Linked DNA regions of Oryctolagus cuniculus. The protein of the gene in region 1 interacts with the protein of each later gene in a pairwise test. Links are inferred from orthologs where the notes say so. Each region holds a gene or a part of one and is shown on either strand. Other genes may lie near its edges.

Region 1 (3,518 bases):
TTCTGGCTGTTCAGCTTCCAATCCAGTCCATACTAATGTGCCTAGAAAGTAACAGAAAATATCCCAAGTACTTGAGTCCCTACCACCCAACTGGGAGACCCAGATAAAGTTCCAGGCTCCTAACTTGGTCCTGACCCAGCTCTGGCTGTTGTGGTCATCGGGGGAGTGAACCAGTGCATGCAAGATTTCTCTCTCTCTCTCTCTCTCTCTCTCTCTCTCTCTAGCTCTCGCTCTCATTCTCTTGCTCTGCCTTTCAAATAAAATTCTTTTTTTTATATTTTATTTATTTGAAAGACAGTTACAGAGAGAGAGAGAGGGAGAAAGAGAGAGAGAGAGAGGTCTTCCATCTGCTGGTTTACTCCCCAAATGGCTGCAATGACCAGGGCTAGGCCAGGCTGAAGCCAGGAGCCAAGACCTTCCACCAAGTCTCCCATGTGGGTACAGGAGCCCAAGGACCTGGAGCATCCTCTGCTGCTTTCCCAGACACATTAGCAGGGAGCTGGATAGGAAGTGGAGCAACCAGGATTTGAATTGGCACCCATTTGAGATGCCAGTGCTGCAGGCAGCAGCTTTACCTGCTATGCCACAGCGACAGCTCCTATAAGTTTTAAATTAAAAAAAAAAAAAAGGTTTTCCCCTTTCCCCTGTATCATAGCTCCCATATTTTTCAAGGACTATGAAGAAAATTACAAGCAGAAAAATTTAGTTTTGCTCTAATAGTTAACTATAGGGGTTTGAAAAAGATAATGGAACTCAATACATTTTCCACTCTAGTTATACTGTTCTCATCTATACTTTTACTTATGTTGTCCTCAATTGGAATACTTGTTTCTTCCTCCTACTCGTTCAAATTCCAGTTCAAGCCCTATCCTTTTTCTTTCATTATGCATACCCTATCCAGCTTTCTCTGATCACAGAAATTCTAAACACTTATGAATTACAAACATAACAAAATTTAACTCCCCATAGTAGACTATTTGATATTTCTTCCATTATTTTAATCACTTTAAACTTGAATAGACTTGAAAACCTTTCTAATGAGAGCATCATTATTCTGCAATGTTTGGTAGAGTGCTGTCATGGCAGAGTCTAAGCAAATATTTGACTGAAGGGGGAGAGTTCCACTGTCCCATTCCTGTAAGCAGCAACTGTAGAGAAAGAACTCTGCCAGCTGCATTGTATTTCCTGAGCACTCTGAGCTTCTCTTTATCATCATTGGAATAAAGTGAACTTAGAAGACAGAAGAGGCTACAAAAGATTTTCCCTAGCTTTCCTAAGGGGTTGTGTGAAGCCTGGGCTCACCCACCATGAAGAAACGGACAGCATCGGAGATTTGCAGGAGCTCCTTAGATTGCCCCACAGACAAACGGGCATCCTTGCATTGAAAGCAGATCAGTTTCCCGTCTGGCTTACTGAACAGCTTCAGGTTCTCTCCATGCTCTGGGCACTGTGGGGGGCCCTTGAGTAGGGGTAGCTTCTTAATCTTCTCCACCAGCTTCTCTAGTACAAGATTGAACGTACAGTTGCTGTATTGACATAACATTTGACACTCAGGACAGAATGTTTCCTTAGCTTTCAGCTTCCAAAAGTTTTGGATACAGGCCTGGCAGAAGTTGTGACCACAGCTTAGCATTAGTGGGTCACGGAACCAGTCGTCACACAGTGGGCAGTGTAGCTCCATAGTAATATCTTGTATCACCCCTTTGGACGGCATGTGGGTGATTGAATCATTCACTTCAACATAGTTGCCTGGATCTGTGTTGGAGGAGGGTCTGGAGGATACCTTTGGAAAAGAATAGCTTAAATGAGTTTCTCTTCCTCATTGTCCATTTCAGCACTCTAGGACGGTGGCCTCTGTTCCTAAAAGAACTGAGAATTGACAGAACTAGAATAAAAGTACAAAATCTCACCTTTGAAACTGATCCAATAAATTCAGTGTTTTTCTAACATAATAGCTTATGATACTGTTTAAACTTTAATAGGGAGTCAAGGCCCAAGAAAAAAGACTGCTCAACCAAAGAAATATGTATTGTTTACATCCCTCTCACCACCTACTTTCTATATGTGTCAGTAGAAAGTTTTACTTTCAGCTGCAGGTCTAGTAGTTATTAGCCTTGTTTTGATTTTCTAGAAATCATTTACAAAGCATTGGAATATCAGTCAGTTTCCTCAGCCATTGGCATGATATCATCAACCATCCAGGCCTTTCTCCACTCCAGTCCTTATTTAAAAACACGTATGTGCTGCTTGTGGACTGGCAGAGAGGGTCTGGCAATGGTGCATAACTGTGAGGTTGGAGGGGCAGGAAAACTGATCTCGGATGGGGCCCACACCATCTATGTCGGGGTTGGGAGCAGGTGATTTTGGAGATATCGTAGCCTGTATTCCTCCACTAATGTTGTCAAAGATAGAAACTAGTTGGCTTATCCAGTTCTGTGAGAACCAGAACAGATAAACTGTTAACATTCTCTCTTTTTCTCTGTCCCATCATATATATTTATATATCTGTCCATCTGCCTTTCAAATAAATAAATAAATTTCATAAATAAAAGGGCATCTTGAAAGCAGCAAGAGAGAAGTGACTTATCATATGTAAAAGATCCTCCGTAAGATCAACAGCTGACTTCTCTTCAGAAGACATAGAGACCAGAAAGTAGCGAGATATTTGAAATGTTGAAAGGAAAAAAAAAAAAAGACAAACTATCAATCAAGAATTCTATATCCATAAAAAATATTTGTCAAAAATGAAGGATGAATTGAGACATTCCCAGATAAACACAAACTAAAGATTTTCCTGGTATATCTACCTTATAAGAAATAGCTAATATGCCTGCTCTACATAAACTATTATAGGGAATCTTTTATATTAAAGTGAAAGGACACTAAATAATTCAAAACCATTTAAATACAATAAAAGTAACTACATAAGTAAATATAACAGCTAGTAATGTTGCAGTTGATGGTTTCTAACTCATCTTTTTCCCCATATGATTTAATAGACAATGGATAAAACTATGATTATACATCTGTGTTAACGGATACAGTGTATAAAAATATAATTTATTCAACAGCAATATAAAGGAGGATATGGAGCTGAAAAAAGAGCAGAATTTTTCTACTAAAATTTTCTGTTTTATATTACTGAAACCAAGTATTAATAACACTGGATTATTATAAAGTTAGCATATTAACTGTCACCTCCTGGGTAATCACTAAGGGAAAAACCCCTAAATATAAAGAAAATGAAAAGAGAAGGGGGTCAAAAGTGTACACTAGAAGAAAGGGAAGAAGGAAGTGATGGATAAACTTAAAAATGAAGATAACACATTGTGATGGTTGATTTTTGATATCAACTTGACTGAGTTGAAGGATGCCTTGAGAATTTGTAAATCATCCTCAGCATATCCATAAAGGGGTTTCCAGAGAAGATTGGCGGTAGGTCAGTGAACTGAGTGGGGCAGATTAGTCCTGAATATAAGTGGGAACCATCCAATCAACCAGGGAGCCTAGATAGGATA
Region 2 (3,518 bases), on another chromosome or scaffold:
GGTGTGTCTGCTGGCCTTCCACTGAGTCCAGTGGAAATATCTCTAATATTGGGGACTGATCCATGGTGGAGGTAGGGGGGAGACTAAAATAGCCAACTCTTGTTACTTTCTTAGAAAGTACTCAATTTTGATCTCACTTACTGAAGATTACATCAGTTTGATGCAAATACTTAATTGAATCTCTTTCCATTTTCCCCCTCTTTGCAGAAGCTGGATTATATCACATACCTGTCTATTTTTGACCAGTTATTTGACATTCCTAAAGAAAGGAAGAATGCGGAGTATAAGAGGTAAGCGTTAGTAGCTGCCAGGGCTCTACTTGATTGTATTAGAAGATACTGTGAAGGTTCAAGGGAAGCGTTCTGAATTCTGCTGGAAAGGCAAACGTGAATGGTTTCCAGATTTATTGCAGGTTAGGGTTGTAAATGATACAGTTTTAAAGAATTTGTGGTACACTGACTTTGGGCAAGCATGTGTCTGTGGGCACATCCGATTTCACGCCCGTACTGTTGTTGATTTTGTCTTATTGTAGAAGGAAGTCTCTCACTCAGAAACTTCGGTTTTTGGAGTTTAGAGAAGAAAAATTTCTCAGATTGTGGCTTAAGTGAGGGGCCTGGGTCTGCTGTATAAATGAAAAGTTACATTTATGCTAATTATGCCACCGCTTAGTGAGCCTGCATCCTTAGCTCCCTGTGTTTTTCTTTTTACCTGCAATCTTTTCTGTAAGAGTTAATTAAGACTTTAGTGCTTGACATTATGTCACAAGGATGAAAGCAGGTAGGAAAAATCAATCAAAATGATACGGTGGGGGAACGTCAATTGTAAACTTAAAAATGAGTTATTACTTTAGTAACTAGCACTATTAGAATTGTAAGTATACTACAGAGAGCATAGCGATGTATTGAAAACAGAACTGTTTGCTGTCTGTGGTGTCAGATATCTGGAGATGCTGCTTGAGTACCTTCAGGATTACACAGATCGCGTGAAGCCCCTCCAAGATCAGAATGAACTCTTTGGAAAGATTCAGACTGAGTTTGAGAAGAAGTGGGAGAATGGTACCTTTCCTGGTTGGCCGGTGAGCTCCAGTGGGGTTTGGGTTTATTTTCCTTTAATCTTGAGTGTCTGCTTAGGGCAGGAGTGGGGAAAATCCAGCCCATGGGCTGTATGAGGCCCACAAAATCATTTGATCTGGCCCTGCCAAGGCAGCAGCGGGTGGAACTTGAAGTTCTATAACAGGCTAATTTTTAAGTTGATGATTTTGGATGGCTTGAGAATGATGTTATAAATATCCAGATGGCTCTTGGCAGAAAAAGTATTCCCTACCTCCACCCAGGGCATTAGGATGTTGTTGGTATCAGTTGTGGCCGTGAGGCGTTGTTCCTACCAGGTGTGCTCGGTTTGCTCTGTGTACGTTGGAACAAGGTTTGTCAGGGCCCATTTGCCGTTGACTGAGCCCTGCTGACCAAAGTTCATTTAAATTATGTGATGATGATCGGTGTTTTCACTCCTGGGGATGTTGCCTGATCCATCAGGGAGAAAATGTACCTTCTGTTTTTTTCTGTGCTCGTGTAAAAACTCGCTCCTTATTTATAAATGTGTATAAAAAAGGGACCCACCAACACCTTTTAATGTAAACAGCTCCCTTACTCTGGTCCTAAACCTGGATTTTCACAAACATCATTGTTCTTGCCAGAAAGAGACAAGCAGCGCACTGACCCATGCTGGGGCCCATCTTGACCTGTCTGCATTCTCCTCCTGGGAGGTAGGTTTTTGTCAGCAGCATCTCTGATCTGTCCATCTTTGAAAACAGCCACACACTCTCCTGCTTTAATGCCATGGACGCGTTATCTTAGGGCACCATTTTCTGGGACCAGGTGTTAACAGAGAATGTGGAAAGAGAAAAATAAATTCACAGCTTTGAAAGTAATTTTTTTTCTCCCCAGAAACCTTTATTTAGGGAATATAAACCTCATGCATTTCCTAAGTACAACTTTAGGAACGTAGTGATTCTTCCCAGAATACTCACCCTCCCATCCACACACCCACCCCACTTCCTTCTCACTCTCCTATTCCCATTCTTATTTTCCACTAAGATCTATTTTCAGTTAACTTTATACACGTACGATTAACTCTTAGTATAGAGTTTAATGAATAGTATGAAAAAAATGTTCCTCAGCAGTTGAGACAAGGGCTGTTCAAAGTCATTGTATCTCAAGGTGTCAATTTCACTTCTATAGATTACCTTTTAGGTGCTCTGTTAGTTATCAGGGAGCACATACAGTATTTGTCCTATTGGACTGGCTTATTTCACTAAGTATGATGTATTCTAGTTTCATCCATTTTGTTGCAAACAAGATTCCCTTTTTTTTTTTAACCACTGTGTAGTACTCCAAGGTGTACATATCCCATAATTTCTTTATCCATTCTTCAGTTGATGGACATTTGGGTTGATTTCACATCTTAGCTATCGTGAATTATGCTGCAATCTTTTTTTTTTTTTTTTTTAATTTTAAGATTTACTTATTTACTTGAAGTTATGGTGAGGGAGGGAGAGACAGAGAACTCATCCATGTGCTGGTTCACTTCCCAAATGATCACAACAGCTGGGTCTGGGCCAGGCTGAAGCCAGGAGATTTTTCTGGGTCTCCCACATGGGCCCAGGCACTTGGGGGATCTTCCGCTGCTTTCCCAGGCACATTAGCAGGGAGCTGGATTGGAAGTGGTGCAGCCAGGACTTGAATCAGCACCCATATGGGATGACAGCATTGCAGGCGGTGGCTTAACCTGCTACACCACAGTGCCAGCCCCAAAAAGGACTAATTCTAACTACATTAGGTTGTGGTGGAAGGAATGGAACACTACCAGATGGTTCTGTCTGGACATGACCACAGAGTCAGTCTTGTGGAGGCTTTGCACTTCCTCAAGGAGATTGACTCTGGGCTGCGTGGCCCTGCCAACTTCAGGAGCACCCACACACCAGCTTTCGTTTGTTGTTGCCCAAAATCTAGTTCTGTGTTACTGGAACCTGTCTCTCTCATTTATGCAGGAGCTGGCCTCCTTGGGTCTGGACAGACTGAAATCTGCCCTCTTAGCTTTAGGCCTGAAATGTGGTGGGTAAGAGAATGACTTTTCTATCGAAACTCCTACTTAGTGTGCACATGTTTACGTGATTTTCTAAGTATTTTTTGTATATTTTCCCATCATCACTTACTGTAAAAACAAGCAAGCATGTATGGTATGAAGTAACCCTGTAATACTTTGTTCCTCCTGTCTCTAGAACTCTCGAAGAGCGAGCCCAGAGGCTGTTTAGCACCAAAGGAAAGTCCCTGGAGTCCCTTGACACCTCTCTCTTCGCCAAAAATCCCAAGTCAAAGGGCACCAAGCGGTGAGTGGCTAAATGGCGCCTTTGCGTGTGAATTTTTTTTTTTTATTATTTATTTATTTTTTATTTTTTTGACAGGCAGAGTGGACAGTGAGAGAGAGAGAGACAGAGAGAAAGGTCTTCCTTTGCTGTTGGT
Region 3 (3,736 bases), on another chromosome or scaffold:
AGAGAAAGGTCTTCCTTCTGTTGGTTCACCCCCCAAATGGCTGCTACAGCTCCTCTGAAGCCAGGAGCCAGGTGCTTCCTCCTGGTCTCCCATGCGGGTGCAGGGCCCAAGCACTTGGGCCATCCTCCACTGCCTTCCCGTCCACAGCAGAGAGCTGGACTGGAAGAGGAGCAACTGGGACAGAACTGGTGCCCCAACCAGGACTAGAACCTGGAGTGCTGGCGCCGCAGGTGGAAGATTAGCCTAGTGAGCTGCAGCACCGGCCAGTCCCCAAGATTAAGTGCCCTCCATTTATAGATGAGAAGGTTCAGGACCTGTTGTGTGAGTTTTCTTTCTTTCTTTAAAAAAAAAAAAAAAAAAAAGATTTATTTATTTGAAAGGCAGAGCGAGAGAGAGAGTGAGACTGAGACCTTCCACCCACTGGCCTACTCCCCAGATGCCTACAACAACCAGGTCTGGGGCCAGGCCATGGCCAGGAGCCAGGACCTGGTCTCCCATGTGGGTGGTGGGGGCCCAAGTACTTGGGCCATCTTCTGCTGTCTTTCCAGGTGCATTAGCAGGAAGCTGGATTGGGATCAGAGCAGCCAATACTCAAACTGGTAGTTCCAATATGAAATGCTGGTGTCGTGAGCAGCAGCTTAACCCGCTGCACCATAACACCAGCACCCTGTATGGGTTTTCTTTTGCCCCATCTCCAGGGGGCCTGGCTAGCAGGGGGTGAGGAGGTGGGTGGGGAGTGCTTTGGGCCCCAGGCCTACCTTGGAAACAGGGAGAGGTTTGGCTTGATGTCTGGGGCTTTGGGCCCTGTCCCTTGGGCAGCCATGAGGACACGGGGGCTCCCAGGCACGGCCCCCCCCCCCCCCCCCCGCCTGTGAGTGCCTGTCCCATGGCTGCGGGCCGGTGGAGAGTCTGCTGGTGCCTCTGTGCAGGGCTGTGTGATCTGGGGCACTTCCGGCTTCTCTTGCAGCAGCGTAGCTCGGGGCTGACGTTTCTACCTGACAGGCCTGGCACGGGAGTGCCGGACTGGAAGGTTGTCTGGACTCCACTGGGCAGGGGTGGGGATTTTCTACGCGCAGGTTTGCTACATGCTGTGCTCCTGTGCCTGGGGCCTGGCGTGCCCGGGCAGGATGATGGCACACAGCAGCTTCCTGCCTGGGTGGCGGAGGGCTGGAGGTGGAAACGGGCTCCCTGTGGGCAGTCCAGGTGGGGTGTGGGGCTGGAGCCCTTTCTCTTCGTCCCTTAACTTCAACACCACCAATTTTTGGGTTAGCTGAAGCAAACTGGTGGCTTCCCGGGGTTCAGTTTCCCCAGCTGCAAAGTGGAGCTGTTGAGAGGACACTGAGGCCGAGCTGGCTGGAGCCCGTGCAGTCTGGGGCCCGCACGCTCGCTTTACAGCACGCCCTCCCCAGCCTTTCCCCCACACCTTTTCTCCCTCTGCCTCTGCTGTGCCTGGTCCTCCCTATCCAAACCCACTTCGCAGGAGGGAGGGGGTGTGGGTGGGGCCACAGGCCCTTGAGCGTTGACTTTGCCTGCCGATTGGCTCTCTATGAATAGAGGGCGTGGCTTTCACCTTATAATAGGGAAGGCGTCTTTGCCTGGCTCAGCTTGGCCGAGCCTTTGTCTGAGCGAGCTCAGCCCCTTTTTCTTTCCTTCACCGCAGCCGTTGCGGGCGTCCAGATGCCGTTTTGGGCTGCCAGCTGCCGGCTTTCTACCTGAATCTGTCTCCTTGCTCTGATCTCCATACACCCACGCCTCGGGGTATGTAACAGCCATGCCTGTGGACACGCTGACCCCTGGAGCCCCAGCCGCCCCAGCCCTGCCTTTCCGCCTGCGGACTAAGGTCCCCGGTTACCTGCTTCGGAGGCCAGCAGACGGTGGAGCCCGGAAACCCAGTGCTGTGGAGCGCCTGGAGGCCGACAAGGCTAAGTACGTGAAGAGCCTGCATGTGGCCAACACCCGCCAAGAGCCCGTGCAGCCCCTGCTGTCCAAACAGCCCCTCTTCAGCCCCGGGACTCGCCGCACAGTGCTCACGCCCAGCCGCCGGGCCCTGCCTGGCCCTGGCCGCCGACCCCAGCTGGACCTGGACATCCTTAGCAGCCTCATCAACTTGTGTGATAGTCCCGTGTCCCCTGTCGAGGCCAGCTGCGCCCCTGCACAGGCGGAAGGCGTCCGCCAGGCTCCCCCAGCCACGCCTCCACGCCCGCCCCCCACGACGGCTGCGGTCCGCAGAGTGGACGTCCGCCCGCTGCCTGCATCTCCGGCCCAGCCTTGCCCGTCGCCCAGCTCAGCCACCGCCTCCAGCCCAGCCCGGCCGCCGGGCCTGCAGCGCTCCAAGTCGGACTTGAGCGAGCGCTTCTCCAGGGCGGCCGCCGACCTCGAGCGCTTTTTTAACTTCTGCGGCCTGGACCCTGAGGAGGCACGGGGGTTGGGCGTGGCCCACCTGGCACGGGCAAGCTCGGACATTGTGTCCCTGGCCGGGCCCAGTGCTGGGCCGGGCAGCTCCGAGGGCGGCTGCTCCCCGCGCAGCTCCGCCACGGTGGAGGAGCGTGCCCGGGAGCGCGTGCCCTACGGCGTGTCGGTGGTGGAGCGCAACGCCCGCGTCATCAAGTGGCTCTATGGCTTGCGGCAAGCCTGGGAGACCCCAGCGGCGGAGGGCTAGGCCTCTGCTGCGCTGGGAATTCACCGCAGGACACGTCTTGGAGGGGCCCTTGGCCCTTGACCTCTTGCATCCACTCCCTAGCTATGGGAGATCGGACACCTCCTGGGGGAACTTGGTTTGGAGGCCAAGGCTGAGAGGCTGGACCAGCAGCTTCTGGCTAGGACTGAGCCTGGAGAGGGTTGCTCTTGGCTTTGGGCCCCTCTCCCCCAAGTTCATGGCCTTTGACACCAATGTATCCTCTCTGGTGGGGCTGGATGTGGGGTGCTCAGCCCTCCCCACTGAGGGTTAGCGGCCCGGGGATCTGGCTGAGCCTGTCTGCCCAGTGACCATTTCCTCCTTCCTTCCTGGGCCTCTGACCCTTGCCGACTTCCTCTTCCTTACCCAGAGGGCCCCCGCTCCCTGGCAACTCACCCTGGGGTGGGGGCAGGGACCCGGGGCCTGCCCACTGCTCTTCCTGGTCTTTGGCTGTCGGCCTAGGTGGATAGACTACAAGAAGGACTGGTTAGAAGCCTGCACTGCTCTGATTTCCCTCCCCCTGGTTAATAAACACACGTGCTTGTTTCCCAAGGGCTTTCTGTGTTTACCAGGGGAAGGGTGGGAGAACCGTGGGGTGCAAACTTCACGTCTTCGCCATTGTTCACCCTGGGGTCCTGTGGGGGCACGTGTGCACCTGGCCCTGCGGGTGTCCTCATCACTCCTCCCTCTGGGAGGCTGGCAGGTGTCCTGCATGGAGGAGGAGACTGTGCAGCCCAGCCACAGGGGGGAGTCAGCACAGAGCTGGGAACAGTGCTGGGAAGGGGATCTGCAGGGGATGGGCCGGGGGGGGGGGTGCCTGGACCCTCCCCTGCACCCCGCCCAGGTCCCAGGGAGGCAGGAAGCCTGGGGAGGGCTGACGAGGAACTTATCACACAGACGGTAAAGGGAAGAAGAGGACTGGGGGTGGGCAGTGCAGAGTGAGTGGCCTTGCCTTGAACTCTGGGGGATCCTGGGCCAGCCAGTCTCCTCCCTGGGCCTCGTGGGAGGGTGGGACAGTTAGGGTCGCCCGGTCCTCCCTCCTGGGTATTCCGGGCCCTTCAT

The links.
Region 2: the proteins of TRIM69 (region 1) and SF3A3 interact in binary tests that used the Homo sapiens proteins (3 or more experiments, as listed by UniProt). The two-hybrid records come from large-scale screens. The link is inferred for Oryctolagus cuniculus from reciprocal best matches to the Homo sapiens genes TRIM69 and SF3A3.
Region 3: the proteins of TRIM69 (region 1) and FAM110A interact in binary tests that used the Homo sapiens proteins (3 or more experiments, as listed by UniProt). The two-hybrid records come from large-scale screens. The link is inferred for Oryctolagus cuniculus from reciprocal best matches to the Homo sapiens genes TRIM69 and FAM110A.

What each region holds. Positions count from the first base shown.
Region 1 is NC_091443.1:67,645,990-67,649,507, reverse strand, and holds part of TRIM69 (E3 ubiquitin-protein ligase TRIM69), read right to left. Parts: intron 1,784-3,518; coding exon 1,307-1,783; intron 1-1,306.
Region 2 is NC_091438.1:134,823,335-134,826,852, forward strand, and holds part of SF3A3 (splicing factor 3A subunit 3), read left to right. Parts: intron 1-207; coding exon 208-290; intron 291-936; coding exon 937-1,075; intron 1,076-1,693; coding exon 1,694-1,762; intron 1,763-3,046; coding exon 3,047-3,114; intron 3,115-3,277; coding exon 3,278-3,385; intron 3,386-3,518. UniProt on the Homo sapiens protein: Component of the 17S U2 SnRNP complex of the spliceosome, a large ribonucleoprotein complex that removes introns from transcribed pre-mRNAs.
Region 3 is NC_091442.1:26,842,999-26,846,734, forward strand, and holds the end of FAM110A (protein FAM110A), read left to right. Parts: intron 1-1,660; 5' UTR 1,661-1,771; coding exon 1,772-2,659; 3' UTR 2,660-3,226; downstream 3,227-3,736.